7 linked regions of the Rattus norvegicus genome follow. The protein of the gene in region 1 interacts with the protein of each later gene in a biochemical or structural test. Links are inferred from orthologs where the notes say so. Each region holds a gene or a part of one and is shown in the gene's direction. Other genes may lie near its edges.

Region 1 (4,571 bases):
GGCCCAAGGTCAGGGTGGAAAGAGTTCCCCTACCTTTCTCAACTCCCGGCCTGGGCCTGGAGTTACCATCCTCTTTAGTGTGACCACAAAGGTGATGGGGGGAATGTTCTTGGTTATTGTGGGGGTAACTTCCAAGTTCCACACGAGTGGGATATCCAGGGAGCACACAGTTTATACATATTAACAATCTCCACGGGCAACCAGCATTAGACCTGACCCAGAGAAACCGATCTTAAGACAGACAGGCAAATTCTGGATAGGCAAGCAGACAGATAGATGGAAGTGGCCAGCCAGGCCAGAGCCTGTGGCAGCATCAGTTAGAATCTGCAGAGAAGGCTGGGGGCAGGGAGCAACAATGTATCTACAGCTTAAGTGCCTTTCAGGAGCAGCCACTAGGGTGTGGGTACCCAAGAGGCTAAGGCTAGGATGCTGCTGAGAGGCGGGTCCTAGTGCTTGGGTGGAGGTGGAAAGCCCCAGTTAAGGGCTCTGGAGAGAGGGGAGGGAGAGGAGAACATTGAGCTAGGGGCGCATCTCCTATCCACATGGGGAACTGTCTGAGCTGGCTTTACCTGACTCAGGGGGACCAGGTAAGTGAGGAGCTGTGCACTGGGGAGAAGCAGGCTGCGGGTGAGATCTCAGCCTGGGAGGAAGCTTTAAGGTGAAAGTGCAGTCTCACAGTACTGGACTCTAGTAGAGGATTTTCTCCAGGCCTCAGTGTCCTGGTCTGTAAAATGGTCGGTTTTCTCTAGGGTTGTTCTTGGAAAACCATGTACGAATGCATAAGGGGTTCTCAGTGGGACTGTTGTCCTGTAAGGGGAGATGAGAACTTAAGCAATTGTAAATCTAAGAATGTGTTGACTACAGACCTAGGAACCGGGAATGGGAACCCTGTGGTGCTTAATTTGGGACAACAGATCACCACCTAGAGCTCAGGGGCCAAAGTCCTTAGCACAGTTCATACTGGGTCTAGAGGAAGGCAGCACATACCTCCCATCTCTGCCAGATAAACTCATGTTCCCAAAAAACAGGGGAATACGGAAGACAGACACTTGCTGGGTGGAACAGGGGCCACCTACTTGCTGGCCCCAAAGACCTTGGTTGCTGTAGTCTCTTTAAATTTCTTATTCTTGCCTGTTGCTCTCTGGGTCAGGATGAGACAACTTTGGGGACCTAGAGGGAGCAGGCAGCACAGTCCCGATAGGTAGAGGGTGGGGTGCATCCCAGGAAGGGGCGCAGTGGTCCTTGCACTTCCCCTCTGGCGTCTGTGTAGTGTGTCTCTGACTGGACCCTTTCTCTAAGAGGCTTCCCATTTCAGGAACCCCTCTCACTGTAGCATATGCAGGTGTCTAAAAAAAAAGTGGTTCCTGGAACAGAAGCCAAAGGTGCTGGCGCTAGGGAAGGTGACCAAATGGGATAAGATAGGACTCCCAGGAACTCGAGGGTTGCCTGACCGCGAAATCCCACTCCTTAGTCCTAGGGTTTCTGGGCGCCCAGGCAGGGGCCTAGCTAGCGGGGCTTAGGCTAGGGCGGGGGCAGCCAGGAGGGCGGGGAAGGGGCGGGCGCGGGGGCGGTGCTGCAGCAGGAGCAGGGGCCAGGGCCAGAGCCGAAGTCGGAGCCCGAGGCGACGCGAGCTGAGCAGGAGCCACCGAGGCCGCTGCCTGCTCTCCCGCCCGCGCCTCTGCCGCCTCCGCGCTCCAGCCTGCGGGTGGTGTGAGCCGTGGCCAGTCGCGGGCAGCCAGGGGGCAGCGGGTGCCATGGCCGCGCCGGAGTCGCTGCGGCCCCGCTTGTGTCGCCTGGTGCGGGGCGAGCAAGGGTACGGCTTCCACCTGCATGGCGAGAAAGGCCGCCGTGGCCAGTTCATCCGGCGCGTGGAGCCAGGCTCCCCAGCCGAGGCGGCCGCGCTGCGCGCCGGGGACCGCCTGGTTGAGGTCAACGGCGTCAACGTAGAGGGCGAGACGCATCACCAGGTGGGTCCCTGCGCTGCGCCCCGCCCCCCGGTTCCCTCCTAGGGGCGCATCCCTACTGCGCTGGCCAAGATGCCTTCGACCACCCTTCGGCGTGCCCTATCGTGGGACCGGTCAAGGGTCCCATGGGGGCCTGCTGTTCGGGTACTGAGGTGTGGGACGTGGCCCGCCAGCTGGCCTCCTGGTGAGGAAGCTCAGTCCTGCACAAGCGGGGGAGGGAGGACATCCTGGTAGGGAGGGGCCGCACTGCGGCTACTCTGGCCAGGGCCCTGGCTGCTTCTGCTAGTTTTGGCCTCCGTGTGCCATGGAGGGGGAGGAGGTGGTGAAGGCACCTTGTGGCCTTGTGGTATAGATGCATTTCTGTTCGTGTGTGAGTTATGTGTGTGTGCTTGCGGGTCTCCCTGGGGTCATCCATATGAATACACTACCCAAGTGTTCCAGGAGTGGCTGAGAGCATACTTGTGTCAGTGCTGGAATGTGTGCTTAGGTTTGTGTAGACACATCAGGTATGTGTGCTGACTCTGTGCGTGTGTGTGTGTGTGTGTGTGTGTGTGTGTGTGCGCGCGCCTGTGCGAGCTCACGAGTGCCTGCCTGCCTGGTTATACTAGTGTACTTCTCATGGCTGGTGTGTCTGGGTCTGGTGGAGTCAGCTCTAGTGGCAGCCTATTCCTTGGGCTCAGAAAAAGCCTCCTCCTGGGAGCTGCCTGGCCCTGTAGAGGTCACTGTGCAACCCTTGCCTGCTGGCAGCTGGAAGGAGGAGGGCTGATGTGGCGGAGTCTCTCTGCAGATCCTACCTCTGGGATGTCCGTATTCCACCGAGGGGTAGACACAGTTAAAACCTTGATTAGGGTTCAGTCTCCCTTCACCTTTTTTATTCTGGAACCCTAGTACCACTAAGTCCAAGACCTACGTGAGTGGTCAGTCCTGAGGCTTGGAGGAAGCAGAGTGGCTCTTTGCTGGGCTAAAGTTGAACTTCTATCTTCCCGGCGACCTGCCTTGTGACCACTGGATTTGGTTGTGTGCTGAAGAGTTTGGGAGTGAAGCCCAGTGGTTGGCCCTAAAAGCAAGGGAGAGGCTGGCAGAGTTGGTATTACCTGCGTCTAGCCGTCGCTGGAATGCAGCTGTCTAGTCTAGTCTCTAAAGACTTTCACATAGAGCCACAGTAGAATCCTTCTACTGCTCAGGGAGATAGGAGGCAAAACCAAGACTCCCATTCTACTGATATGTAGAGATTGTGGGTGACTGGCTTAGCTCCTTAGTGCTGGGATCCTTCTGCTCTCTTGGTCATCTTGGACGATCACTGAGGGGCCAGGTAAAGATGGGCCTGGCTGGGTAGGACCTTCATATCTGTGGTGGTATGTACTCCATGGAGTCACGCTGGAGATCCTGCCTCTTCACTCCCAGGCTGTGGGGTGGGGTTGTTAATGCTTCCTGCCCTTCAGATGTCCACTGGGCACTTTTCCCTTTGAACACATACTAACATCCTGCGTGATCCACGGTGGCCCACACTTCACAGGCACCCATCCAACCCATCCAGACAGATACGCAGATCTGTTCTGCTTCGGTACCTGCTGGAGATGAGTTCTGCTTACCTGACGTGTGTGAGCACCTTAGAATTCCTAGGTCTTCACCTCTAAGCAGGTCCAGCAGGGATGGGTTTCTGGTCCTGGTTGGAGGCAAATTGAAGTTGGGGTCAACAAAGACATTGCTCTCTCCTACACCTGGACCAAAACCCCAGACTTTAAAATAGACACACACACACACGTACAGAAAGCACACACATATATGCACACATACACACAAAGCATACACATATGCACATGCACACACACACACACACACACACACACACACACACACACACTCACGCACACACACAGTTAAGCACGTACCCATGCACAGACCAGACTGAAATCCTGAAGCTCAACTAAACAGATTCTGACTCTCCCATCTGGCTGTTCCTAGCAGCTCCTCCGGAGCCCACCTGCCGAGAACACAAGGCCACAAGAGAACCCTGAAGTACTTGCAGCCTGGGCCCTAGCTCCAGGGAGACGAGGGAGGGAGCTGCTGGAAACTGGGGGTGGGGGGTGGAGCCCGCAGGCCTCTCAGTCCAGCTACCCACCCCTGGCAGGCCAACCCCTGCCCTCTGTCCATGAGCCTGGGCCTAGCCGGGAGTGGTGCCCTATCCATGTGTTGCCCAGGGTGTTGCCTGCTGACCGGGTCCTGCTTCACACCCATTCCAGGTGGTCCAGAGGATCAAGGCTGTGGAGGGACAGACCCAGCTGCTTGTGGTGGACAAGGAGACAGATGAGGAACTCTGCCGGCGGCAACTGACCTGCACTGAGGAGATGGCCCATCGAGGGCTTCCGCCAGCCCACAACCCCTGGGAGCCAAAGCCGGACTGGGCATGCTCAGGCAGTCTTGGCTCGGACACAGGCCAGAAGGTATGGTGGGCTTTTGTCTGTGGGAACAATGAGTCTTTCCCAGAACCACCATCGCTGACTGCCTCTTGATAACAATCTTCCCTTTGGTCACTCCTATAAGCCTCCGTTTCCTCTTAGGGCTCTTTCCCTACTGCAGTAGCCACTCTGTGCCATTGGTGACCAC
Region 2 (4,644 bases), on another chromosome or scaffold:
TTGCTACCTGCGACTCTAACTATCTTTAGGGGCTGGCTTCTTTGTCACTGCTCTGTTCTCAATTGGCACTGTCTAGAGGGTACCTGATGATTCATATCACAGTGACAGTCCTCTGTGTCTGTTCATCTTCCCTAGCCCACCTGGAAGCTGCAGGCTGTCAAGGACAGTGTCCACAGGCATTGCTTCTGTGATGTCCAGCACAGTGACTGATACATACAGCAATGTCAACACATCGCCGTGGATGAATGATAGATGAATATGTTAATATATACAGAAAGGCGTATGCAATTGGTTGAAATAACATCCTCAGTTGCTGGATCCATAGCTGATGAGAAATTGAGCAGAGAAGTTGTTTTGGGGGGGGTCACAGACCACAGTGGGTTCCAACATGCTCATTTCATCTCCTCATTTCACTATGAGCCCCTTGAGTACAGGAAGACTGTTTATTTTTCAAATTCTAAGGAATAAGCAGACAGCCAATGAGCAGGAAGTGTAGGGCAAAGTCCTGTTTTCTGCCAATGTCCTATTTACAGAATAAGAAGGCTAGGGCATAAAGAGCAAGCAGCAAGAATATAATCTACTTGTTTTGCCAGCCACCAAGGATACCTGGGTAAATATTAGCTAACGTGAAGCCCTTTGCTTGTTATTAAGATTTACTGATTTCAATAGAAAGGAACCTAAACGCTAGGGCACATTATATAACCTAAGACACCAACGATAATCTCTAATTGCCCAACCGCTCATAAATGCACATCGGCTCTGTCTGTGGTTACATTAAATGGCATAGTCCAAGCAAAGTGAGATCTGCATAATAGCAGAGCTTCCGTGTGACTGATGGGTTTGGTTAGTGGATGGATTTACCTCTTTCCTTGGGCTAGCTTAGTTCTCCTCACTCTTTCAGCAAAGAACTCAACCTCGTAGGATAATCCCGTATGTGTAAAGCTCAGCCCCAGTAAAGTCCAGTTTTTCCAGATTAAACTTCACAACAATATCTCACATTTCTTATATAACAGTGGCTGTTGTCGAGCGAGATTAATGTGGTATCTTGTTTCTTCCTGGTCTGATCTTATTCTTGTCTTGCAAACATGTCCCCATCTGTGACCCTCCATCCATCTGTATCTTTGTGATCACCTGGAAAGGTTAGTATTCAGTGTGTTTCAGAAAAATGGCTGGGAGATGAACGATAAGTAAGTGTTTCTAAGCCAAATGTTATTTGGCGTGACTTAGGAGAACAGTAAGAGGGTTATAGAGCGTGGCAAAGGAGAGGGGGGCCTCGCTGGCACCCAATCCACGTCTGCTGCCCAGGACCTCAGCTGGTTGTTTGTTATGTCTTAGCATGACGGTATTCAAGCCATGTGAGGTGTAAAGTAATATATATATGTATACCTGACTTCAGGCTCGGTCTGAGAACATCCACTTGTGTTGGCTCCAATCACACAACTCCACTCGAGTTAGCCATTGAAAGCCAATGCAAGTAAATGTCATTCCAAAGCTTAAGATTCATTAAGGTGGGCCTAAAAGAAGACAGCTGCTGTGCAGACAACGTCGAACAAGCACCACTTGCTTGCTTTGCCCAGCATGGGCGCTTCGGAACGGAGTGTGTTCAGAGTGCTGGTAAGTGTGGATTATCTGAGGAACGCACTATGCGGCCACTGCCTGCTCCTGTTTTACCACTTGCGAGGCCAGGAAGTGAATGTTTTATTTTGCTGACACAGTCGAGGGAAAACCCAAACTTACTGGGGACATGTCTTCACTTTACAGAAGTGCCCTTCACTTTCAAACTGAAGCAAACTTTAGAAGGGCGGAGAAGGGAGGAGGGCAAGGAAAGCTCGGAAGTTGATGCTTTACAAGTCATCTTGAATTGTAATGTGTGGTGGAGATTGTATGGATTCTGTGGATAATGCTGGCCTTAGAATTGCTAATAGGTAAGAAAATCTGTGAGGAAACATGAGCTTCCACATGCCTGGACGGGAGGATCTGTCACCATCGAGTATGGGTCAGGTGCATGTGCAGTGCACAGGAGTAGCTGGAGAAGAAGCCTTTGGCCTCTCTGCCTCACTTGGGACTATCTCCTAGTCTGACTCTTGGAGACTTGCAGTCAGACAGGGATGGATAGAGCCCTGAGTGTGTGCAGGGCTTGTTTGACTCTCTTGGTAACTCTTTCTTCTCCTTATTTTTAGTGCCTGGCCTTTACACTTCAAAACACCACTACGGGCTGTGGTTTTCCTCTCACAGCCTCCACTTGGTGTGACCACTGCCTATGTTTACCTGGGTGAAGGCCAGGAACAAGACACTGAGGGATATCACTTTTGTTTAAAATGTGTCACTAAGCTGGTTTCGCTTCCTAGTTCTTATGAGCAAACACATTTCTGAAGGGGGATTTTGAGATCTATTTTTAAAAATATCTTTGCATTTAATGAAAAAATACCACAAAGGCAGTGCTAACCACAATGGACACACCTTGACTTTTTTGGCAGGGGCGGGGGTGGGTGAAGCAGGGGAAGGTGTATTCTAGGCTTAAGACCCTTGAATTTCACTGTTGTTAGCTGTTTAGGGGAAAGCCCCAATCACTGTTTTGCTGGAAATCTCTCTCTCTCTCTCTCTCTCTTTCTCTCTCTCTCTCTCACACACACACACACCTGTTCTTGATAAGAAACGAGCAGACATTCTTCTGAAGAGGGCTTCATTCTGTTACTATGTGTTAGCTCATGGGTACTGGTGGAGAGAGTGGTAATGGTCTGAACTAGGAAGTGGGGCCTAGGAATGGGGATTAAACATGGTCCTGCCTCCATAGAGCATCAGGGAAGTCATCGTGCATCAGCTTGGAGCCAGGTTGATAGTATGGAATATCAATGACCACCCTCATTCTATGTCAGCTGGGAATCTTGGCAGAACATGGCGGATGAGTAGAAGCAGGTATGTAGATCCTCAGACAGAGCTTCTGAGATCACCCAGTGGGCTGTGAATCCTGTCTTCAAGTGTTCTAGGAAGCACACTTTTAGGGTAGGGTGTTTGACAAATGAGCCCAAGCATGACTAGAGCTGTCCAGAATGAAGGCAGTGAGCTGCTGTCTACTTCCAGCCGTAGGTTGGGTCTCTGTCTTTGGAGAAGTCACCGAAACTTGTTGAGTCTTAGTGCTTTCATTTACAGAAGACGACCTGAACTGGATCAGAATATCCCCAGATATATTGATAGCAGCAAACAAGACAATTTAGGGGATATATTGATACAGTGATATATTGATGAGTTTTCTCTTTCAGTTACTTATTTTTATATATCACAAAATTATGAACAGTCCTCCAGGTTTATGATATTACAAAAATTATTGCATAGCAGCAGGTTAGATTTTAAAACAGAAGTGATTTGCATAATAACATCCAATAAATAAAAGCACAAGGTTCTAATGGGTCCCATTTTTAAGGTCCTGTGGGACAGACTGGTGTCAGGAAATACTTGAGCATAATGTCTGTTAGTAACTTTCCACTTGGTGTCTTTCCCACTTTCTGTGTGACATAGAGGCTACGTATAGTTTATTTTGGCATCCAGAACAGACGAGTTGGTTTATGCGAATGATTAACAAGCCTAATGATTTAGAATTTTTCTCCTCAGAGGTGTATGGGTCTGTATGTGCGTCACCTCCTTTACCACAGCGACAACTATAACCTTACCAACCCTCTAATATGTTTTCAGATCAGGGCACTGACAGAAAGGATGTTCAAACACCTCCGAAGATGGTTTGTCACTCACATATTTGGGCGTTCCCGGCAACGGGCAAGGCTGGTCTCTAAAGAAGGAAGATGTAACATCGAGTTTGGCAATGTGGATGCACAGTCAAGGTTTATATTCTTTGTGGACATCTGGACAACTGTGCTGGACCTGAAATGGAGGTACAAAATGACCGTGTTCATCACAGCCTTCTTGGGGAGTTGGTTCCTCTTTGGTCTCCTGTGGTATGTCGTAGCGTATGTTCATAAGGACCTCCCAGAGTTCTACCCGCCTGACAACCGCACTCCTTGTGTGGAGAACATTAATGGCATGACTTCAGCCTTTCTGTTTTCTCTAGAGACTCAAGTGACCATAGGTTACGGATTCAGGTTTGTGACAGAACAGTGCGCCACTGCCATTTTCCTGCTTATCTTCCAATCTATTCTTGGAGTGATCATCAATTCCTTCATGTGTGGTGCCATTTTAGCCAAGATCTCTAGACCTAAAAAACGTGCTAAAACCATTACGTTCAGCAAGAATGCGGTGATCAGCAAGCGTGGCGGGAAGCTCTGCCTCCTCATCCGAGTGGCCAATCTTAGGAAGAGCCTTCTGATTGGCAGCCACATATATGGCAAGCTTCTAAAGACAACCATCACTCCTGAAGGCGAGACCATCATTTTGGATCAGACCAACATCAACTTTGTCGTCGACGCTGGCAATGAAAATTTGTTCTTCATATCCCCACTGACGATCTACCACATTATTGACCACAACAGCCCTTTCTTCCACATGGCAGCAGAAACTCTTTCCCAACAGGACTTTGAGCTGGTGGTCTTTTTAGATGGCACAGTGGAATCCACCAGTGCAACCTGCCAGGTCCGCACGTCATACGTCCCAGAGGAGGTACTTTGGGGCTACCGTTTCGTTCCTATTGTGTCC
Region 3 (4,093 bases), on another chromosome or scaffold:
AGTGCTGCAACCCTTTAGTACAGTTCCTCATGTGTTGACCCCCCAACCACTCATCACCTTAAGTCTATAGATTTTTCTATTCTGGATATTTCTAGTTATAAATTGTATATAAATGGTTTTTGGAGATAGAGGTTTGCCAAAGGGGTCATGACCCACAAGTTGAGAAATGTTACCTTATATAGAAAATATTATTTTATATTATTTCACCTTTTTTTTTCTTTTTTTTTCGGAGCTGGGGACCGAACCCAGGGCCTTGCACTTGCTAGGCAAGCGCTCTACCACTGAGCCAAATCCCCAACCCCATTATTTCACCTTTGATTGATTGTTCTACACAGTTATTTATTCTATAGTTCATAGGATTGATCCTATGGCCTCATAGATGCAAGTGTACTGAGCTATAATCCAGCCTCAGAAAATGTAAACTGTTACATAATAACCACCATTTGGTTAACATCTGGAGCACGTCATATACATTAGTGGAAGTTTTGAAACTTTTGAACATCCTCAGTCCTCACAGTCCACAGCCATGGATATCATCTCCCAATGTATAACAGAGTCTCAAACAGGCTAAGTCAGCCACCCACAGTCTTTCCTTGGAAAGAAACTTGTCATTCACGAAGTAAACAAGGTTATATTTTGTCTCTATATAGTTTCCTTTGACTCCCAGGAACCACAGGAGTATAAATGGACAATATATTTGGTTTTCACAAATTAAAACCATTTTGAGGTCTTATTTTAAAAAACAAAGCTCTGATGAATAGATTAGAAGAAACTTGATTAGAGTCAAAGGGAAATGATTAGGCTTCGATCTGCCCCACTGTTCCAGTAGCAAATCTTTGGAAATATCTGTAGAAAAAAACAGTTGGTGATAAACCCTCAAGAACTGTTTAGTAAGTAAACCAAGTTGATTTATTGCTTTTCAGCTCTACACTTTAACTCAGCATTTGGAAGTCAGAAATGGGTGGATCTCTGTGAGTTCCAGGTGAGCCTGGTCTACATACCAAGTTCCAAGCCAGCCAGGGCTACTTAGTGAGACCCTGTATCCAAAATAAAAATAAAAACAAAAACAAGAAATCGTTGTTTAGTTAACCCAAAGGAGTTGTGTCTGCTTGTTGAAGGGAAAAGTGGTATTGCTGTGGAAAAAAAAAAAAAAGTGACCCAGGTCCCTTAATCCTGCCCTCTTTTGATCTCGAAAGGTGGTAACATTCAGTTCGGAGCTCACTCATCTGTAAATTGCATCACATTATCTGAGTTATTTAAGAAGCAAGCTCTGTTTGGTTTCAGGCATTTTAACCTGCTAACAGCCAGAAAGAAGCGCTCACCACATAGTTTCAAAGGTCTTCCCATTTGCCACTGTCACCAGGGAAGGCAAAATGATCGAAGCCATAGGGAATCAGTATGTGGTGGCCAGACCGGTGTATTCCACAAAGGCTTTCGGAGAGGAGTTTAAGAAGACATACGGACATCACAAGACATTCCTGGATCATCTCAAAGGGTGTTGTAGGTAAGAGACTCCTGAAGTACTGGAACGAGGAAGGAACGACGCAGTTTCTTCTAAATTTTCTAGCTTTCAAGTTTTCCTCTCTGGCTCAAGTCCATAGCTTCAGGAATCTGCCATCCTTGCTTTCCAAACCTCTTACCCCGCTGTCTGAGGTGGAAAGGCAAGGGAACACACCCTCTCAGCAAGCGGCAGAAACACAGCTTCCAAGTCAGAGACTAACAGATGGAGACAGGCAAATTCCCAGTCGAAATGCTGCACAATTCAACTCAGACTGGCACACAAGTTCTTTATAGCTGAAGAAAAGCTGGCATTTTCCTTTAAAAGGAGAAAAGTTTCTTTGGTAGTGACCAGAAAGCTTTTGGCAGGGGCAGAGAGGCGATTGTGAGTGGGAGTGAAGTCACCACTTTTGTCTTTAAGATGATGTCATCGTTGTCAACTTTCTACTTGCTCTCAGGAGCCGGACTTAAAATCGATATTAATTCACTGACCTTGTGGCTTTCAATGTTTTCAGCTGCTCCTCACAAAAGGCCAAGAAAATTGCCCTGTCTTTGTTCCCCATAGCATCTTGGTTGCCAGCATACAAGATAAAGGAATGGCTTCTCAGTGACATCGTCTCTGGCATCAGCACTGGGCTGGTGGCTGTGCTGCAAGGTAACTTTGTCTTCCTTTTTCTCCTCTGTTACTTTTTCTTCTATTTTGAAGATATAATTTGCATATCATAAAATTCACTCTCGTGATTTGTGTGTGTGTGTGTGTGTGTGTGTGCGCACGCACGCGCTAGAGCAAGGCTTCACACCTACTAGGTTTGCATTCTACCGACACATTATACGCCAGCCAACCTTTTTGATATGTGTAACTCCGGGGGTTATTCATAGAGGTTGTGCATCTAAGATCACCAATTCTAACATATTTACCACTACCTTCTCTTCACAAATGCACAAACCAAAGCCTTTTTTATTTGATGTAGGCCCTTCCTACTCCTTCCTCCACTCATCACCTTAACCATAAATCTACAGATTTTTCCTATTCTGGATATTTCGTGCAGATGGAATTGTCTGTTGCACTCTGCATCTGATTCTTTACCTCTTAGCACCATGGCTTACTCATATAGTAGCAAGGACAGCATTCTGTGGCATGGTTTATACCACACTTGGTTGAACCTTTGAGTCATTTCTACTCAGAGGGATGATGAACGAACGATCTGTGAACATTTGTGCCCATTGTATGCAACTCTTTCTGTGAAAAAGATGTTTCAATGGTCTGAATCTATCCCCAGGAGTCTAAGTGCTGGTCCTGTGGTGGAAGGGTTTAGTCATTTGTAGAGGTGCACAACTGTGTCACTTCCAACCCTCCCACCAGCACATGTGGCTTCAGATCTTCCAAGGCGTCCTGCTTACTCTCTCTCTCTTTTTATCTTTGCTATCCTGATGGGTGAGAAGCAGCAGAATCACATCCTGGCTTTGGTTTGTATCTCTTTAATAACCAATGATGTTTACTAAGTATCTTCTCTTTTCTTGTGCTTGCTACTCCTGTGCATGCCTTTGGAAAAATAAGTCTTCAAATCCTTCATCATTTACTTCATTTGCTTTCTGTTTGGTGCTGGAGATCAAGTCCAGGGCCTGACCCAAACCAATCAAGAACTATATGACTGAACTAGATCCCTAGTTCTCCTTGCTGGAGATAAAATTTTAAAATTTTAGGTCCTCCAGCTCAGTAGAACATTCAGTGATAGAGGAGAAGGGCTGAGATGTGCTTAGTTGGTAGAGTGATTGCCCAGCATGCTCAAAGCCCGGGGTTCCATTGCCAGCACAATAGTAATCAGGTGTAGTGGTTCATGCCTGTAATCCCAGCATCTAGGAGGTGGAGGCAGGAGTATCATAAGTGTGACTGTATAGCATGTTTGAGGCCACCCTGGGCTAGGAGGTCCTGTCTTTTATTACAGAGTTGCAAGGGTTATTTATATGTTTCTGACACTGAACCTTTATCTGATACATATTTGCCAACAGCTTTCTTTTTTTCATTCTCTGTATTGTTCCTTCACTTGTTTTTGAAACTAGAGAAAGTCTCATGTAGCCTAGGTTAGCCTCAAACTTCTGCTCTTCCTCCCTCTATGCCCCAAGTGCTAAGATTACAAGCATGTGCCTCCAGGCCCAGTCTAAAAGGAGACTCGTTATGGTCACTTCCTGAGTCTTCAATGGGATTAGGGGAGAGCAGGGTAAGTCCATGGCAGATATACTACCATTCAGCCTCAGCTAGGTCCCCAAACACTCTTCTTTTGCAATACTGAGGAATCAGACTAAGGCATCCTGTATGCTATGCAAGTGATCTGTTGCTGAGCTTAATCCTTTGGGGATAGCATCCTTTTTGTTTTTTTCCAGTGCTGTGATTAAACAGAGCATCTATGTGTTAGGCAGATGCTCATTCATTGATCCACACGTCCACCCGAGCATTTTTATTCTCAACTCTTTGCTTGCTTGTGCTACACACATCCTTTCTGAGAGACTGTTGCCTGAGCCAAGATTGCAGATTCATACTCGTGAGTTCTTCTGACAATGTTAGTTTGGAATACATTTTGCGTTACTGTGGTGATTT
Region 4 (4,093 bases), on another chromosome or scaffold:
ATAAGTATTGGACAACTTATTAGTCTTCTTTCCAACAACCTGAACAAATTTGATGAAGTATGTACCCATTGATTTAATGTTATATGTATTTCATTAGAACTCAAACAATTCTAAAGAAAGCTTTACTTTGCATTAGATAACAGTGATGAGTTCTAGAGTCCCACCCTTACCTAGTTTGGCTATTTCTGGAAACTGGGAAAGCTTAGTTTGTAGCAGAGCACCATTCTGAGGTCAGGTAAAATTGCCCAACTCAAACATACCTCAGCTTGCTCTTAATAATGGTTTTCAAAACTTAATCCTTATCAGACTTAGTTTGCTTCCTTTTAGTATAATACTTTAAATTGTTATTTAATTTGGCTAAATATGATACTCTGAGCCATTCTTGTTCTGTGCTGTCTTATGTCACAAGTAAATTCAAGGTCCTTGAGGACAGATACCATGTTTTATTTATCTTTGCATTTCTAGTATTTAATATAGCAAGTGTTAAATAAAGTTACTGTTGAATTGAGTACTTGTTCCCACATGTTCTATATGATGACCCTAGCTTCATTTTAAAAGGGCATTAATAAAACCTGGGCACAATTTTAAAGATGTACTATCTCAATTCCATGGTTAAAAACAATGCAGCAACTGTGCATCAATTAAGCCCAATACATACATTGTAGTATTCTCAGAACTGTGAATTTCGTGATTGGATAGATCTCCAGTGCTCTTTTCTTCCATATGTGTTTCTTCACTTGGGTTTCAGGGTAGAGTGTAATACGCCACTTGATTTTCTCTATGTTTTTATTTTTCAGGGACTTGCCTTGGCACATTTTATATGGATTGCTCCTTTACAAGTGGTTCTTCTGATGGGGCTTCTCTGGGACTTGTTACAGTTCTCAGCCTTCTGTGGCCTTGGTTTACTGATAGTCTTGGTTATTTTTCAAGCTATCTTAGGGAAGATGATGGTGAAGTACAGGTAGTGATCTTTGTCAAAGTCTGAAGGAATTTGAATTGAGCTTCTCTATGCCCTGACAATAAAGCCCTGCCATATCACTTAGAAGGAATTATTTAATTGTATAAATAATTATTTCTATAGCAAAAGGGTAATTATTTTCTCTATTGGTCTACAGAATTTCTTTGTGCAGATTTTAAGATTCAGTACATTTTTATAGTCATTAAACTTAGGTAAAATGGATATTGCACCTATATGAACTGGAAGGAATGCCTAAATTCTGTATGGAGTGACCTGGCCTCTTCCACTCCATATTGTAGACCATTCTACCAAAGCTTTTATTACTTGTATTGGTCATATGAGTTATGCGATGTGCTTATTACGGAGAATTTGTAGTTTGCATGTTTCAATGTGATAGAAAGTTAAAAATCTGGGACACAGACAGAATTTTGTTTAAGTTTGTATATACTTTCATTTGCCTCATGAAATGGAAGTGATCACCTCTTAGAGACTTTGTGTAGGATTGGATTAGAGACATTGTCCAATGTTCATCTATTGTGGGTATCTGACATTCTGGAGACATGTGCTAAATGGTACAATTCAATTCATTTTTTTTCTTCCTGTTTTTCTGAGACAGGGCTTCTCTCTGTGGCCTTGGCTGTCCAGGAACTCACTCTATCGGCCAAGCTAATCTAGAATTCAAGAGATCTGCCTGACTTTGCCTCTTGAGTGCTAGAATTAAAAGTGTATTCTACCTGGCTAGACTTTTCTGTGTTACCAACTGTTTAATAACAATGTTTGTGTAATAAAAATATGGAATTTCTTAAAAAATTTGAATAGTTACTAGTAGGTAATTTAACTTGTTTCAGTTATTGATTGGTCAATCAATTGATTGGTTTACAGAGATAAAAGAGCTGCAAAGATCAATGAAAGACTTGTGATCACATCAGAAGTTATTGACAATATCTATTCTGTTAAGGCATATTGTTGGGAATCAGCGATGGAGAAGATAATTGAAAGCTTGAGAGAGTAAGTTGACATAATTACAATATTGGTCCAATTTTATATTTAACATTTAAAACTGACCACTCAGGTGGATGTTCAACTTGTCCAAACTCTCTAAAACTCAAGCATATGTCCTGAGTTTTACAGTGGTTTATCCATCATTTGCATAAAATTATTTTGATTATTTCTTTTATGTTTTGAGACTGGTCTCACTATGTACCCTTTGCTACCATAGACTTCAGTATGTAGATCTAGAACTTAAAGGCGTGTCCCACCACACTGTTCCTTGGCTTATGGTTTTACAGTTGATTTGGTTTTTCTTTTGTAGTATATGGATAGTTATCTCTTACTAATGATTCTTCTATACTAGTTCATAGTTTTCATACTCTTAATTTAAATAATGATGAAGATGGTGAGTCTAATTAAAACCATAAGTGGAAATACTAAAATATATAGTTCTGAGAGAAAGGGGTGATCCTGTATGACACTGTACTTCAGGTGTTATGACTTACAAAGAATGGGTGACAGCCACATTTGAGCAACTTCTACCTGTGATTTTGAGCCTGAGGAATAATGACAAAAAAAATTTTCCTTAGTGTTAACTCATAAGGGGCTAAGTCAGTCCCTGTAACAAAAGCCACCTCCTGAGATGCAATCTTAACTTAGCACCTGTGTATGTCCCCTCTTCTTTCACCTCAGATAACCTTTTGCAGATGAGTAAAGATTACCTCTAGATGTCCCCTACCAAAAAAAAAAACCCATAAAAGTACAGCCCAGACTGATACATAATTACTGAGATAATTTTGGGTAAAAGAAAAATGAATATTGTTGTAGCCATGTAACATTTTTCTTTAGTTGACTTCCCTGTCCTTCCAATAACAGTCAAGGAAATGTTTTAGACTTCTGGGGGTGGATGCACCATAAAGGATACTACTAATTTAAAGATATAGGGTATTTGAGTATTTGACAGGGACAAGGAAATGCAGAGTGCTCTTTGCAATGGGTTATTTCATGTTCAGATGGCTGTGGACCTGAGGACAGTGGCAACTGAGCCACAGGTGTGTGATTGGAACAACAGTGGAAATGCTGAAATGTTAAGTCCTTTGCCGTGTAAATAAAAAGTGCAAAAGAGTATTTATTTTTCAAATATTATTGGTCACCTGTTTTTGTTATGCTTTTCAAGGTAAATCCAGGAAAGGAACTACATTTTCTTTCCAGAAACATCCTTAAAGGTCTTGGGGAATTGTTGAGTTGATGAAAGTTGTTTTTCACATTAACAAGTTGAGTGTGTCCTCACACTCTGCCAGGAAACAGTCACTGTAGGGCTTAGGAGGTTATCAGAGTATCCGGTTTCTCAGGCTTCACAATCAACTTGCAGAAGCTTGTTCCTGTGCCTGACAGTTTTTTGTTTCTTTTCTTTGCTGTTTTGTTTTTTGGTTTTGTTTGTTTGACATTGGTGTTTTGCCCTACTTTTCCTTACGTGATGGAATCTATCTTTCCTATTCTGTATTTCGGGTTGGTTAATTCTGATAGCTAGAATTTGTCTGGTTGTAACCTGTTTGATACAGCATGAAATTGTTACCTGAAAAGGCTGGAGAGTTCTGACGTAAAAAGGAAAGCAAGAATTGCTTTACTCAGCAGAGCAAATACAATGTTCTAGGAGAGACTGACGAGATGCTCTTATAAGGATGATTACCTCAGCCTAGGCTACTGTTGAACTGGGCCAAAGGCTATGCAAATGTTCTTGAAAATTTTGCCTTTTATTGCTTTTTAGCAATAAAGGCACTTTCAATTTTTTATAAGAAACTAATAGAATATTTTCATGACATAAAATGTTAGGGATTTTATATCAGTTTCTAGATGATTCTGGTAAGTTTGGATTGATTATTCTTTTTCCTTACTTCTCATTTTTCTCAGCTGTTCTAATATATTTGAACAATTTTGACACTTTACTACTATTTGTAAACAATTCTCTCCTTAGCCTCATGAATATATGTTTTATCTCTAGAAGAAAAGGGATACACATTGCCCTTTTACATCTTCTGCTATGCTGTCATCTATGCTTAACTACATCTCTACAAGGGAAGTATTAAGTTTTCTTTAGTCATGGGATCACATTTAATTAGGGGGAAAAATGGCTTCCTTTATACA
Region 5 (4,093 bases), on another chromosome or scaffold:
CTCTTCCTCTCTTTCCTTTCCTTCCTCCTTCCCTCCCTCGCTTCCTCTGTTCTTCCCTCCTTTCCTTTTCTGAGACTGGCTGGCCCGGAAGGAACTCGCTCTGTAGACCAGTCTGGCTTCAAACTCACAAGAGATCTGTCTGCCTCAGCCTCCCAGATGCTGGGATTAATGCTGCACCATCACATCCAATCTTATTTCTGTCTCTACTTACTTAGTTTTAAAAGTGCCAGCCTTAACTGGGTGCTTAAATCTATGGCCAGCTCGAGAGCCTTAAAATCCCGAGTCGGAGTTTCTGAGCATGAGCCTATGCCCTGGGAGACAGGGCCACACCCTGTGGCAGGGCTCAGAGTGCACAGGCTCAGAGTGGTCTGTTCAAATCGTCCAGTCTTGCAGTTGTACCATGTGACCTTGGACAAGTCACCAAGGTTCAGTTTCCCTGCTCATAAGCAGGGACTGCCTGAAAGGAGCACATGCCTTTTAAACACCAAGCACAGCCCCTCCTACAAGGCTTGCACAGTTTGTTAGCTGTGGCTCGCCTGTCCACGGGCCCCATCTGTGCCTCAGAGAGGTAACTGCAGCGTAATTTCTGTGACTCCTGCTTAGTTCTTACTTTATCCAAGTCTAACTCATTATGCACCACGGCCCAGGACAGTACTTTGTCATTCCTGCCTTTTCCCTTTTCATTGCTACTGGTGTCAGCTTGTGAGAATCATAAAGCCAGAAAAGACCCCTCCTTGGCTGGTACAGCTGGCTTCCCCCGCCTTTGCTTTGTCTGTTATAGAACCGACAGGCACCTCTGAAGGCACTCAGCCCATCGCTATCTCGACGCCAGGCATCACCACACCGGTCTCCACACCACTACAGCCTACGGGGTCTCCAGGGGGAACTGAGTCGGTGCCTACGACCGAAGAATTCACACACTCCACTTCTAGTTGGACTCCAGTGGTCTCTCAAGGCCCGAGCACACCCTCTTCCACCTGGACGTCTGGGAGTTACAAGGTAATTCTAGCAGAGCATGGGGTGAGAAAGCCCAGACTCAAGGGAAGTCTTTTCCTTTGGCCTTCTCAGAGCCCCTGGTTGGGCGGGCGCTTTAAGGAAAAGTTGTCTGTCTCCCATTTCCTCCGTTCTTACCCAGTTTTCCGAAGAGGCTGGGTAACCAGGTACTCCTGGTTTTGGAACTGACTAGCCAGGCCGGAGCATGCTATCTGCACTTCCCCTGTGCCACCCACGCTCACCAAGAGGAGAATCCAAGATCAGGTGACTCTGTGCCTAAACCTTCATCTTTTGACCTCTTCCAGCTAAAATGTGATCCTGCCATAAAGCCCCACGAGGAACTCCTCATTCTGAACCTCACAAGAGACAGCTTTTGTGTGAGTACACATGCCTGAGTTCACCATACATCCCACCCAGTACGTGAGCTCCTGAAAGGGAGAATAGTCTTTTCCCATCCAAGTTTAGACTTCTCTAAGTCAGGCAGTGCACACAGGCCTGCTTCAGGCCCAGAGAATGTGCAGAGCATGCGCAGAGCACGCGCCACCACTTTTACTGCTCTAGTTGCACGCGTTCTCTCTCTCTCTCTCTCTCTCTCTTTCTCTCTCCCCTCCCCTCCCCTCCCCTCTCCTCCCCTCCCCCTGCCTTTCCCCTCTCTCTCCCCCTCCCCCTCTCTCTCATCTCCCCTTCTCCACCCCCACCCCCACCCCTCTCTAGTTCCAGCTAGTTAGGACATTGAGGCAGGAGAACTGAAGTCAAAGTGGTGCCTTGGCCACCAAGTGTATTTGAGGCTAATCCTGGCAACTTAATGAGACTTTTCTTATTAAAAGTAACAGGAGGGGTTGGGGATTTAGCTCAGTGGTAGAGCGCTTGCCTAGGAAGCGCAAGGCCCTGGGTTCGGTCTCCAGCTCCGTCCCCAGCTCCGGAAAAAAAAAGAACCAAAAAAAAAAAAAAAAAGTAACAGGAGTGCTAGAGGAAGCACTCTCCAAGGCCTCAGAAGAGAGTTACATTCTGAGCAGTCGCCCTCTGTCCTGATAGTGCAGCCATAGTTCCTGGTCCCCTGCATAGATCCATATAAGAGGGTATAGAAATGTGTACAGCTCCCTTCACACTACCAGTGTTCTGGGACCAAGGGTTTGGTGGACCTGCACAGCACATGGCCATTGACCTCCTTGGTACTGGAGGCAGCTGATTCGTTGCTGCCCTCTACTGGCCATTGCCATTTTTGCAGCCACTTCTAGGATCAAGAATAGAAGAGGGCTTGCTTGGGTTCTCTCTAGGTTGGAGACCTTGGGCTCTGCTATTTTCTTCCAGGGGTTTTGTTTTGCTGTAACTTACTGAGTGAACTACAGAGGCATAAACTTGGCCATCAGAGGTTTAGAGGGAGAAACGTTGTTCTGGGATTGAGCTTTGGTGAGAAGGCAGGAATAGCATTGAAATTGCCCCCAAGATGAATGTCTAGGTTGAAGTCCACCGGATATGTATTGTTACTGGGACACATTCTTCCCTGTTCTAGAAAAAGATGATGGAAAGTGCTGGATCCACTCCTGGTGGTGGAGTAAAGCGCTTCTAGGCCAAAGGAACTGGCATATGGGAAGTGTAGGGGGGGTAGCATGTGGGAGACTTAAAGGTCAAGAGCTCATGCTTTCAATCTTAGCATTTAATTCAGAATCAGAGAAGGAAAACATCAGTGAGCGATGCCTGAACTGGCAGTGCCAAATAAAAGCCCATAGCTTACACCTCAGCATCAGCCCGAAAACCCTGTTTCTGTCTTCTTTGGGCTTAGGTCCATGTACGTAACACTGTGGATATCCCCAGAACCTGTGTGCTTCTCTTTCCCTCTCAGCCTGAGGTGGCGACAAGAGGCTAGAGACTGGCAGGTTTCAATCCCTGCATTGCCTCTCTCCCCTGGCGGTGGAGGAGTGCCACAGCTCCTATACCCTGTTTTATCCCACTCCTAGCTGAGGCATAATACAGTCACTGGTTCCAGAGCCTCCGGGACCTTGCAGGGAGGACAGAGGAAGCCTCGGGGGTGACATGCAGACAAGATGTCCAGGCTGAGGGGAATGGGAAAAGAATTTGGAATGAGATTGAGAGGATAAGGACTAACCTGAGAGAAAAATACAAAACTTAATTCCCGGCGATCACTGGTGCTACTTCCTAGAGTAGCAGCAGTGAAGCATGGAGAAGGGACTCTTGCAGGCTGAGTGGGCAGGGGGCAGCCTCAGAAGCCCAAGCAGTCATGGCACAGCCTGGGAATCACCTGTGTTCTCTGTACACTAGAAGGGGAGCCCTCCAAATGAAAGATTCTTGGAACTGCTGTGTCACTCAGCCAAAGCCTCCTTCAAGCCAGCTGAGGATTCGTGTGCTCTGGAGCTGGCCCCCATTCTAGACAACCAGGCGGTGGCAGTGAAGAGAATCGTTATTGAGAGTGAGTCGAGAGTGAGGGGACCTGGGCCTGTGCGGGCGGGGGTGCCCCAGAAGAATGGTTGGGGAGTGGAGGCATCTAAAAATATACAAGCCAGCAACCATCCCAGGAGACCAGAGGGACTGGGATACAGGACATCCTCTTCTTGGGGCACCCGCTCTGCCCCTGCCATTTCACTCTGGGCTGGACTCTGGAGGCATTGGTCTCTGTCTCTCCCACAGCGAAGCTTTCTCCTAAGGCTGTGTTTGAACTGCTGAAGGACAAATGGGACGACCTGACAGAGGTAAGAAGTTTTGCCCTGTACTGTCCTAAGCCCAGCGTCCTCTGGTGTAAGAGGCCCTTTGATGGTATAAGTATACAGGAGAGGCACATCCCAGTGGACAGGGTGGGCAGTAGGATGGGGCAGCAGACACAGAAGAAGGGCTCCCATTTGACTAGAGTGGGGACAGGAGGTCCGGACTCTGTTTCCTGCCACTTAAGTTCTGTGTCTCGGCAGGCTGGAGTCATCGACATTCATCTGGGGAAGGAAGGACCTCCAGAAGTCAACGAGGACCGCTTCAGCCTTCCTCTCATCATCACCATCGTCTGCATGGCATCCTTCCTGCTCCTCGTTGCTGCCCTCTACGGCTGCTGTCACCAGCGGATCTCCCAGAGGAAGGACCAAGTGGGTATTTT
Region 6 (4,788 bases), on another chromosome or scaffold:
AGGGCGGGGCAGGGCTCGAAGGCGTTGGCTGCGTAGCCTGGCTCTAGCTGGAGGCGGAGCAGCTTCCCCAGGGTCCCCTCATAGCCAGAACAGGAACCCCACGGGTGCACGGACAGCGCCGCGGTTCGAGGCGCGGGAAATACTAGGCGGCCTCCCCAGTGACTCCTCTGGTGTAGCCGCCCGCTCATCAGCCGGGGCCGGAAGATCGGGGGTGGTGGGTGGTCTGTGCTTTTCCAAAGGAAAGAATAAAGCAAAAGCGGGACAGCGTCCCAGCCACGGTTCTCAAGTTCCGATGTCAGAGCTCACTAGACTGCGTCCCCGCAACACTCATCCTGCTGCCCAAAGACCCGGGGGAGGGTCTCTGGAGAGATGTCCCGGGGTGGGGGGCAGCGGGCTGGGCTCTGTCCTCCACACACCAGCCTGGGAGGCAGTGGCGGGGGCAGGGGCGGAGGAGGCCCGGGGAGGGCGCAGGGGGAGGGAGGGAAGAGGCTCCGGGCCGCGGGGGGAGGGGAGCGGCAGACGCCGAGGCGAGGGACGCGCGAGGCGGGCGGCGGCTCGGAACAGCGTCCGGGCGGGGGGCTCTGGAGGCCAGGCAGGCCAGGGGGATCCCGAGAGCTCCATGAAGTCTCCCCGGGACTGCGAACGGGGCGCTGGCTTGGGGAGGCTGTCGGGGGGGGCCCGACATTCATGGCAAGGCGGGGGCCGCGGCGGCGAGCTCGGAGTAAGTCGGGGCTTGGGGGGTTAGGGGGGTCGGGCGCGCGGGGCGCAGGAGGCCGGAATGGGGCAGGAGGGACTCGGGGCCCGGCCAGGGCGGGCCCGGCTGCTCCGTCTCCGTGTCAGTCTGCGGCGCCTCCTCGGAGCCCTGTGGAGTCGCCAGCCCCGCTGCCGCTCAGTTCGGTGGCTTTTTTGGAAACTTGCAAATGTTTTCGTAGAGGAGGGGAGGGGGGAGCGAGGGAGTGACCGAAACCGAGCTTGGGGCCGCTGGAATAGCAGAGGCCAAGGCCGGGGAGAGCGGGGAGGGTAGGGGGGTGGACGGTAGCTAAGGACCGACTGACAAGCAGACGTGCAGCCTCAGCGTCGGGGCAGCAGAAGCGCCTGTGCCTCTCGGGCGGGCGCACGCGGCGCGGGTTCGGAGGATGGGAAAGGGGGTGCAGAGGGTGGCGGCCACCAAGGGCATGGGGGTCCAGACTGAGCGGGAGAGCTGGGCCACGATGCCGCAGGAGAGCCCGGAGCTGGCGGCAGGAACGCCAAAGGGCTCAGTGTCGTTGCAAAAGTCAGGATGGCATCCCCTAGTTGCACGCCCCGCGCAACTCGAAACGCGCCCCCTGCCCCGCCCCGACTCCCCTGTTGCCCACTGCCGCGGAGCTAAAAATAACAGCCTGGTCGCCCCCCGCAGACCGCGACCCCGACCCCTCCCCCGCCCCTCCCCCACTGGGCGTGGAGCGAAGCCACGGCTCCCAGTTCCCCCAAAGAGGGGGGAAAAAGACAGAGAGAGAGAAAGAAAGAAAGAAAAGGCGGCGCGGGAGGGGAGCGGGGGGCGGGCCGGGGGCGGGGGGCCCAGCCATATGGATGTGATTTCTCCGCTCCGAGGCAGACAGGCCGCTCAGCAGCGCTCGGCGCCCGCCCGCCGCCCGCCCGGCCTCAGGCTGCCTCCCTCCCTCCGCCCTCCCTCTCTCCATTGCGCCGGTTCGTTCTCTCGCTCGCCCTCGGCGAATGGGCCCCGCGTCGGGCTCCGGGGCCTCGGGCCGCCCGGACGCCGGGGTCCCCTAGGCCAGGACGTGGGCGGGGCGGCCCGGCCTGACGCAGCTCTGCACCCTCCAACCATCACCAGGGCCGGCGGCGGCTGCCCCGAGGGACGCGGCCCTAGGCGGTGGCGATGGGGGCCGCCCGGATCGCACCCAGCCTGGCGCTCCTACTCTGCTGCCCAGTGCTCAGCTCCGCATATGCGCTGGTAAGTCTCTCTCGGTGCACACTCCGCAGGAATCCTGGGGTTGCTTTGGGGTTCCTGGGACAAGTGGAGGCTCACATTCTGGGGTTCTCCTAATAGTTTGAACTTTGGGATGGGACCTCTGCCTCCCCCCATGAACCAGGAACCCTGGTGTCTGCTGTCTTTGGGGTGTCTTACCGTAGGTTCCAGATGCCTGATGTTTCCCCACTTCTGAAGACTTGGCTTGGGGGTCCTAGGTCTGGAAACCTGTGGTTGGAGTTTCCCTACACCATGCTTCTGTGAGCATATGGCTCTGGTCGTATGTATCTTTTTCAGTGGTAACAGTGCGATTCAGCGGGCTCTCCGTGTGGAGTCTCACAGACTGCGCTGCGGGGGAAGGGAGGGCTCCGTTTTCGCAAGTTTTGTTTGCACCCGGTGCTTAAAGCTGTGTGCAAGAAGTCAGAAATCACTTAGACTTCTTAGGATTTGAGGGTGGGATTTAGAGCCCTCTCCAATTCCCAAGATCCTACAGATGCACAGATGTATGCACGAATGGGACAGCTTTACCCAAAGTGGAAGTCAGTTTGCCCAGGGAGGTGGGTGTGGTACGGAGGTCCCCTGAAAGAGACTGATCTCATAGTACACTTTGCAGAAGGTATTACTGTAGGACATGCTGGTCTTTTGGTGGGGCGGGGGGGTGCTGTGCGTGGTCTGAGAGTGGATACCAAGAAAGTAGAGAGGGCTAGACAGACAAAGAAAGGGGTTAGGATGAGAGTTCTGGACTGCAGCAAGGAGAGAGACTCAGAACAGCAGACAGACAGAGAGCTGGACCGTGACCTCATCTTGGGCTAGGGTCTGGGAGCTATTTCTCAGAGAGGGGAGACTTTCTGTCCTCTCATCCCCTTAGTGGTTCTATCCCAAGTGTCCAACCTACTCCTGAATCAGCTTTTATGCCTGACTTTAAGGTCCTGTTGTCCCTGTACCCCAACCCTGACCAAGGTCTAGAGAGACAGAGCCAGTAGCTTCCTTCAGAGGACACAGGAGCTCTGAGAACCCTCCAGCTCAGCCCATGGCTTGTGTGACCTTGGACTGACTGTCTTTCTCCACACCTCAGTTGCCCATCAGTGAACAGAGAGCATGAGAGAAACATTTACCTGACACCTTTGCTGTTTGATGTCCTCTTCCTGTGCCCATACCCCAATTCTAGTCCAGCAAAGGAAAGCCAGAGCCAGAGACTGCCTCAGAAGGGAACTTGTCCACAGGGAAGCAAGTTCGGAGGTCCTGAGCTCACTGTTCAGGAGATAATCCCAACAGGACATGGGGAAGAGAGCTGTTTGCTGAACTTCTCTCAGTGACTTCCCCGAGTGCACACATATATGTGCATTGCTAGACCGGCCGATGGGTGTGTGTGCCAGAATGTTCATCCGTGTAAGACTCTGTGGACATCTGAGTCGGTCGGTAGGATTGTGCGTACCCAAGTTCACGTGTGCTTGGAGCTGTGGATCCGCATATGACTCTGAGGGAAGCACAGCTGTACATGCGCGTGTGTGTGCACCCTGTGTGCACCCTGCGGGTGTGCACACGGGTCTATTGTTTGCTCATCTGTATTCAACAAATGCCTCTGTGTTTTCCGTTCGTCTGTCCGTTGTTCTAAGCACTTCACGCAGATCAGCTAGTTAAGTCTTACCCACAATCCTCCGAGAAAGGTATTTTTTTTTCCCTATTTTGTTTTTATCTCCTCCAAATCCACAATCACTATGGCCATTGTCTCTTATGTTAACCAAGTGCCAAGCCCTGCACCTTAAGTGTGGTAGAATGGAGCTCCTAGGGCCCTATAGTTCTCTGTAGGGAAGTTGACGTATATGCAGAGAACTTCCTGGTTTAGAAGGACCCTAAGCTGAAGGCAGAAAGACAGATGCTAGTGTGGCTCTCCAGGGACCATGCCCTTACACTGGACCTGCTCCTGCTTCAGGTCCAAGGACCAGGGATTCGGCCAACTCACTCACCCACCAACCTGTGGGATCCCTGGGCTCCGCCGGAGTCAGCCAACAGCTGGCAACCTGCTCCTTCTCTTTCCTAAGCCCAGAGGCTCCTTCCCTACCCAGATGTGTACAGGTATGGACGAGGATCATCCACCTCAGCTTCATCAAACTTACAGGCGGCAGGACTTTGGTTGGGGGACCAAAGAGCATCCTACAGTGGGAACACTGGCCACAGCTGGACTCACCTGGTCCATCTGCCCTCCTCATTTAGAAGCCTGGAGAGGAGCACAGGAGTGAAGTCTAAAGGAGGGGATAAGCCCTTGGCTTATGAGCAGGCAAAAGGCTGGTCTTCTCCTATGAGATTCCTTGCCCTAAGGATGCCTTAGAGAAGCTATAGCCACAGAAGCTGATGCACAACAGGGAGACGGGTCTGGGTGTGGGCTCTCCAGAGAAAGCGTAGTCTCCTAGGCTGGCTGCGCAGGCAACATTTCCTGCATGGTTCTTTTTTTTTTTTTTAACATTTGTTATTTGTGTGTGTGTGTGTGTGTGTGTGTGTGTGTGTGTGTGTGTGTGTGTGTGCGCGTGTGCGCGTGCCTACGTGTGTAAGCAGGAGTGAGTTCTTTCCTTCTACCATGCTGGTTTCAGGTACTGAGTTCAGATGGCGAGTAGTTTACCTGAGAAGCCATCTGGCCGGCCCCAAGAGGTTTGATTTTAAAAGTTAAAAAGAACGTGTATGAAGCAGTGACTTTCCATAGGGTCTTGAGCTAGAACCCGCCGTATGTGTTTTATCAGTCCGCCCATTCCCCTGGCCACTCTATGGGGAAATGACCTTGAGGCTCACGGTGTAAGACTGGCAGAGGTGAGATCTGGATCATTTGA
Region 7 (3,534 bases), on another chromosome or scaffold:
TCTGGTTCTGGTCTTTTCAAAGCACATGCTCACTGTGAGGACTGCTTGGTTCTGAGAGCTAACCTCTCCTTCTGATGCGTGTCATTTCAGTATCTCGCTCCTGAGGTTCTCCATAAGCAGCCGTACGACCGGACAGTGGACTGGTGGTGCCTCGGGGCTGTCTTGTATGAGATGCTCTATGGCCTGGTGAGTAACACACAGAATCATGCCCGTGACACTTAGAAAACCTTTGTGGATCTGCTCATGCAGGGTTAGGTACTGTGGCTTGTCCTTATCAGTAGCCTTATCAAAAGCTAATAAAGGAGACACTGATTATTTTACATTTTACAGTTTTATAAAGTCTTCTGGATTTTTTTTTTCAATAGTCTTGTTTGAATCTTAGGGTAGGCCCTGGAAATTGTACTGAGCAACATTCCCAACTCTTCTGCACAGTTTACTTAACCTGTTCCAGTATTATTAGCCCCAACACACACACACACACACACACACACACACACACACACACACACACACACACACACACAGTAAAATAGGGAAGGGACCAGCTCAAATCCAGCTTAATACGAGCTTAGCAAGCACTGAGGAGGGAAAAAGAGAAGGATAGGAAGAAGGGAAGAAGAGACAAAGGGAACAGTTCATGCCTTCATAGTTTCCCTGCTGTGTGTCTGCTCAGCTCTGGATTTGAGGCAGTTTTTGATCCCCCATGAATCTGAAGGAATTCCCTTCCTTTTCCAGCCTCCGTTCTACAGCCGGAACACAGCCGAGATGTATGACAATATTCTGAACAAGCCTCTCCAGCTGAAACCAAATATCACCAACTCAGCAAGGCACCTGCTGGAGGGCCTCCTGCAGAAGGACCGGACCAAGAGGCTGGGTGCCAAGGATGACTTTGTGAGTGTCCTGCTGTCACGGGACCTTGGGGGAAGAAACCTTGACCTCATGACCTTATATTAGAGTTCTCCCGCATCTAAATGAATCTGTTTCTTTTTAACAGATGGAGATTAAGAGTCATATTTTCTTCTCTTTGATTAACTGGGATGATCTCATTAATAAGAAGATCACGCCCCCATTTAACCCAAATGTGGTAAGTGTCTGTTTCTGGTGTAAGAATAGTGAGACCCAGAAGGTTTCTTTTCTGTCAGAATTTGGAGAAACAAATAGCAGCTACCATCTATCTATTGACCCATCATCCCAGAGGAGAATTATTTTATGTATGTTTTTATCCCAAATTCGTTCAGTGAATATGAATGCATTTATTATCGTTTCCAGTCCTAGTAACATGTATCTGTAATATCTGTACCTCAGGACTAAAACAGGATAAGGAGTTTGAGGCCAGCCTAGGATACATAGTGAAACTTTGTAATCAACGATATCTTTCTAAACTTTGGAACCTTTAGAGTTAAGTTCATAGTGGAGGGTATAGGACTTAAGGACTCCTGCCCTTTGCCCTGTGACCTCTTTAATGCTGAGTGTACTTCCCCTTCTTTTGACAGAGCGGGCCCAGTGACCTTCGGCACTTTGATCCCGAGTTTACTGAGGAGCCGGTCCCCAGCTCCATCGGGCGATCCCCTGACAGCATCCTTGTCACAGCCAGTGTGAAAGAAGCCGCGGAAGCCTTCCTTGGCTTCTCCTATGCCCCTCCTATGGACTCCTTCCTCTGAAAGCTCCCAGGATGGTTCCGAAGGATTTCCTCAGCGTTTTTCTAAAGTGTTTTAGTTAGCCTTTGGTGGAGTTACCAGCTGACAGAACATCTTAGAAGAGAAATTTGCACACCAGGAAGCTTGGCAGTCCCGCCTGCCGGGCGCTGCACGCGGCTTGACGCGGAAGCTTTCCGGAAGCTTTCCGAAGAGCACATCCTCCTCTCAGTGAGCTAGTGAGGTCTTCATTTCTTTTCTTCCTTCCAACGTGGTGCTAGCTCTAAAGGAGCTTGAGAGTGCCGCCTGAGACGCACCTTGGTCTCAGTGAGAAGGAAGATGCAGGTCTAAGAGGGATCTCCGCAGGTCTGAGCTGTGATCAAGAATATTCTGCAATGTGCCTTTTCTGAGATTGTGTTAGCTCCAAAGCTTTTCCTATCGCAGAGTGTCCAGTTTTTGTTTGTTTTTTTTTTTTTGTTTTGTTTTTTGTTTCGTTTTTTTTCCCAACCCTTGCGTATTTCCCATGTGTGCAGTTAGTGTGAGTGCTATGCCTGATCACAGACAGTTTTGTTGTAAGCATCAATGTGACACTTGCAGGACACTACAATGTGGGACATTGTTTGTTTCTTCCACATTTGGAAGATAAATTTATGCGCAGACTGTTTTTTTTTTGTAAGATATAATAACTAAAACCTATTGAAACGGTCTTGCAGTGACGAGCATCCAGATGCTTGAGGGAAGCATTGCTGCTACAAATATTTCTATTTTTAGAAAGGGTTTTTATGGACCAATGCCCCAGTTGTCAGTCAGAGCCGTTGGTGTTTCATTGTTTAAAATGTCACCTGCAAAATGGGCATTATTTATGGTTCCCCCCAACCTTTGTTCATTTTCTTTTGCATTCCTGATTATTGTGTGTAAAGAAAGTCTGTACATTGGGTTATAACACTAGATATTTAAACTTACAGGCTTATTTGTAAACCATCATTTTAATGTCCTGTAATTAACATGGTTATAACATGTACACTCCCCCCTACTCACCACACAACTTTTTTTGTGTGCGGTGAAACCAATTTTGGTTTGCAATAAAATCTTGAAAACTATTTGCACAAATTGTGTCACTTGTTTAACTTTGTTATGTTTCGGTAAACTGGATTTAGGACGGGGGAAATAATGGATCAGTTTGAAGATAATTTCGGTAAGCTCGGGATAGTAGCACACACTTTCCATCTCTGTCACTTGGGAGAGGCAGGGGGATTACGGATTGGGTGGCTTCCTTACTTCAGGGCCCTCGGAGGTGGGTGGGAGGCAGGTGGTAGTTTGCCAAGGCTGGCCTCATAACTTCTGGTGGAGGACTTTTGCTAGCACGTGAAGGCCTGGCTTGCATCTCCTCCAGCACTGAGAACATATTCTACCTTTACCCCCAGTATTTTGTGCTGCCAGTCATCAATCCATCCAAACAATGCAATAAGGTCATACATTGTATATCACATCATGTTCCCTGTGTTTGACTGTCTCGTGAGGTCCTGTGGACGGCTTGTCCTCACATTGGGCTTATCAAGTGACAGGTAATTCTTTAAGCAAATATGAGGAAGTGGGGCTGGGCTCTGAATGCTTAGAGACATGATACAGGTTGTTGCTTTCTGTCAGGGCTGCGGACTCTGTTTGCTGAAAGGTAATCTGGGCAATAGTATAGAGTGCCACCAAAGAGGGCACATTCATGTCACAAATGCCCATGTTCCCAACACGCTCTCCCGGAATGGGCGAAAGAAACAGTTCCTGCCTAAACCAGTGGGAGCTAGCATCTCAAGGGCAACCAGGTTGTGAGTCTGTCCGGCAGAGCCCTCCTCCAAGGTCTGTCCCACTGGAAATTAATACTCTTAGGGGATCCTCTCGAACCCCA

Evidence for each region.
Region 2: the proteins of Nherf2 (region 1) and Kcnj1 form a complex in vitro, tested with the Homo sapiens proteins (2 studies listed by BioGRID and IntAct, with this or other methods). The link is inferred for Rattus norvegicus from reciprocal best matches to the Homo sapiens genes NHERF2 and KCNJ1.
Region 3: the proteins of Nherf2 (region 1) and Slc26a3 form a complex in vitro, tested with the Homo sapiens proteins (2 studies listed by BioGRID and IntAct, with this or other methods). The link is inferred for Rattus norvegicus from reciprocal best matches to the Homo sapiens genes NHERF2 and SLC26A3.
Region 4: the proteins of Nherf2 (region 1) and Cftr form a complex in vitro, tested with the Homo sapiens proteins (4 studies listed by BioGRID and IntAct, with this or other methods). The link is inferred for Rattus norvegicus from reciprocal best matches to the Homo sapiens genes NHERF2 and CFTR.
Region 5: the proteins of Nherf2 (region 1) and Podxl form a complex in vitro, tested with the Homo sapiens proteins (3 studies listed by BioGRID and IntAct, with this or other methods). The link is inferred for Rattus norvegicus from reciprocal best matches to the Homo sapiens genes NHERF2 and PODXL.
Region 6: the proteins of Nherf2 (region 1) and Pth1r interact in a test that uses a peptide from one of them, tested with the Homo sapiens proteins (2 studies listed by BioGRID and IntAct, with this or other methods). The link is inferred for Rattus norvegicus from reciprocal best matches to the Homo sapiens genes NHERF2 and PTH1R.
Region 7: the proteins of Nherf2 (region 1) and Sgk1 form a complex in vitro, tested with the Homo sapiens proteins (2 studies listed by BioGRID, with this or other methods). The link is inferred for Rattus norvegicus from reciprocal best matches to the Homo sapiens genes NHERF2 and SGK1.

The regions. Positions count from the first base shown.
Region 1 is NC_086028.1:14,174,628-14,179,198, reverse strand, and holds the start of Nherf2 (Na(+)/H(+) exchange regulatory cofactor NHE-RF2), read left to right. Parts: upstream 1-1,679; 5' UTR 1,680-1,754; coding exon 1,755-1,967; intron 1,968-4,207; coding exon 4,208-4,408; intron 4,409-4,571.
Region 2 is NC_086026.1:39,060,212-39,064,855, forward strand, and holds the start of Kcnj1 (ATP-sensitive inward rectifier potassium channel 1), read left to right. Parts: upstream 1-1,429; 5' UTR 1,430-1,578; coding exon 1,579-1,614; intron 1,615-2,794; exon of another isoform or gene 2,795-2,916; intron 2,917-3,690; coding exon 3,691-4,644. UniProt on the Homo sapiens protein: Inward rectifier potassium channels are characterized by a greater tendency to allow potassium to flow into the cell rather than out of it.
Region 3 is NC_086024.1:53,761,269-53,765,361, forward strand, and holds part of Slc26a3 (chloride anion exchanger), read left to right. Parts: intron 1-1,284; 5' UTR 1,285-1,373; coding exon 1,374-1,504; intron 1,505-2,012; coding exon 2,013-2,152; intron 2,153-4,093. UniProt on the Homo sapiens protein: Mediates chloride-bicarbonate exchange with a chloride bicarbonate stoichiometry of 2:1 in the intestinal epithelia. Plays a role in the chloride and bicarbonate homeostasis during sperm epididymal maturation and capacitation.
Region 4 is NC_086022.1:47,586,219-47,590,311, forward strand, and holds part of Cftr (cystic fibrosis transmembrane conductance regulator), read left to right. Parts: coding exon 1-57; intron 58-797; coding exon 798-961; intron 962-1,840; coding exon 1,841-1,966; intron 1,967-4,093. UniProt on the Homo sapiens protein: Epithelial ion channel that plays an important role in the regulation of epithelial ion and water transport and fluid homeostasis. Mediates the transport of chloride ions across the cell membrane.
Region 5 is NC_086022.1:61,107,303-61,111,395, reverse strand, and holds part of Podxl (podocalyxin precursor), read left to right. Parts: intron 1-781; coding exon 782-999; intron 1,000-1,298; coding exon 1,299-1,370; intron 1,371-3,273; coding exon 3,274-3,421; intron 3,422-3,639; coding exon 3,640-3,701; intron 3,702-3,914; coding exon 3,915-4,082; intron 4,083-4,093. UniProt on the Homo sapiens protein: Involved in the regulation of both adhesion and cell morphology and cancer progression. Functions as an anti-adhesive molecule that maintains an open filtration pathway between neighboring foot processes in the podocyte by charge repulsion.
Region 6 is NC_086026.1:119,592,615-119,597,402, reverse strand, and holds the start of Pth1r (parathyroid hormone/parathyroid hormone-related peptide receptor precursor), read left to right. Parts: upstream 1-1,831; 5' UTR 1,832-1,876; coding exon 1,877-1,951; intron 1,952-2,130; exon of another isoform or gene 2,131-2,234; coding exon of another isoform or gene 2,235-2,246; intron 2,247-4,788.
Region 7 is NC_086019.1:24,798,601-24,802,134, reverse strand, and holds the end of Sgk1 (serine/threonine-protein kinase Sgk1), read left to right. Parts: intron 1-90; coding exon 91-186; intron 187-735; coding exon 736-891; intron 892-994; coding exon 995-1,084; intron 1,085-1,493; coding exon 1,494-1,661; 3' UTR 1,662-2,744; downstream 2,745-3,534. UniProt on the Homo sapiens protein: Serine/threonine-protein kinase which is involved in the regulation of a wide variety of ion channels, membrane transporters, cellular enzymes, transcription factors, neuronal excitability, cell growth, proliferation, survival, migration and apoptosis.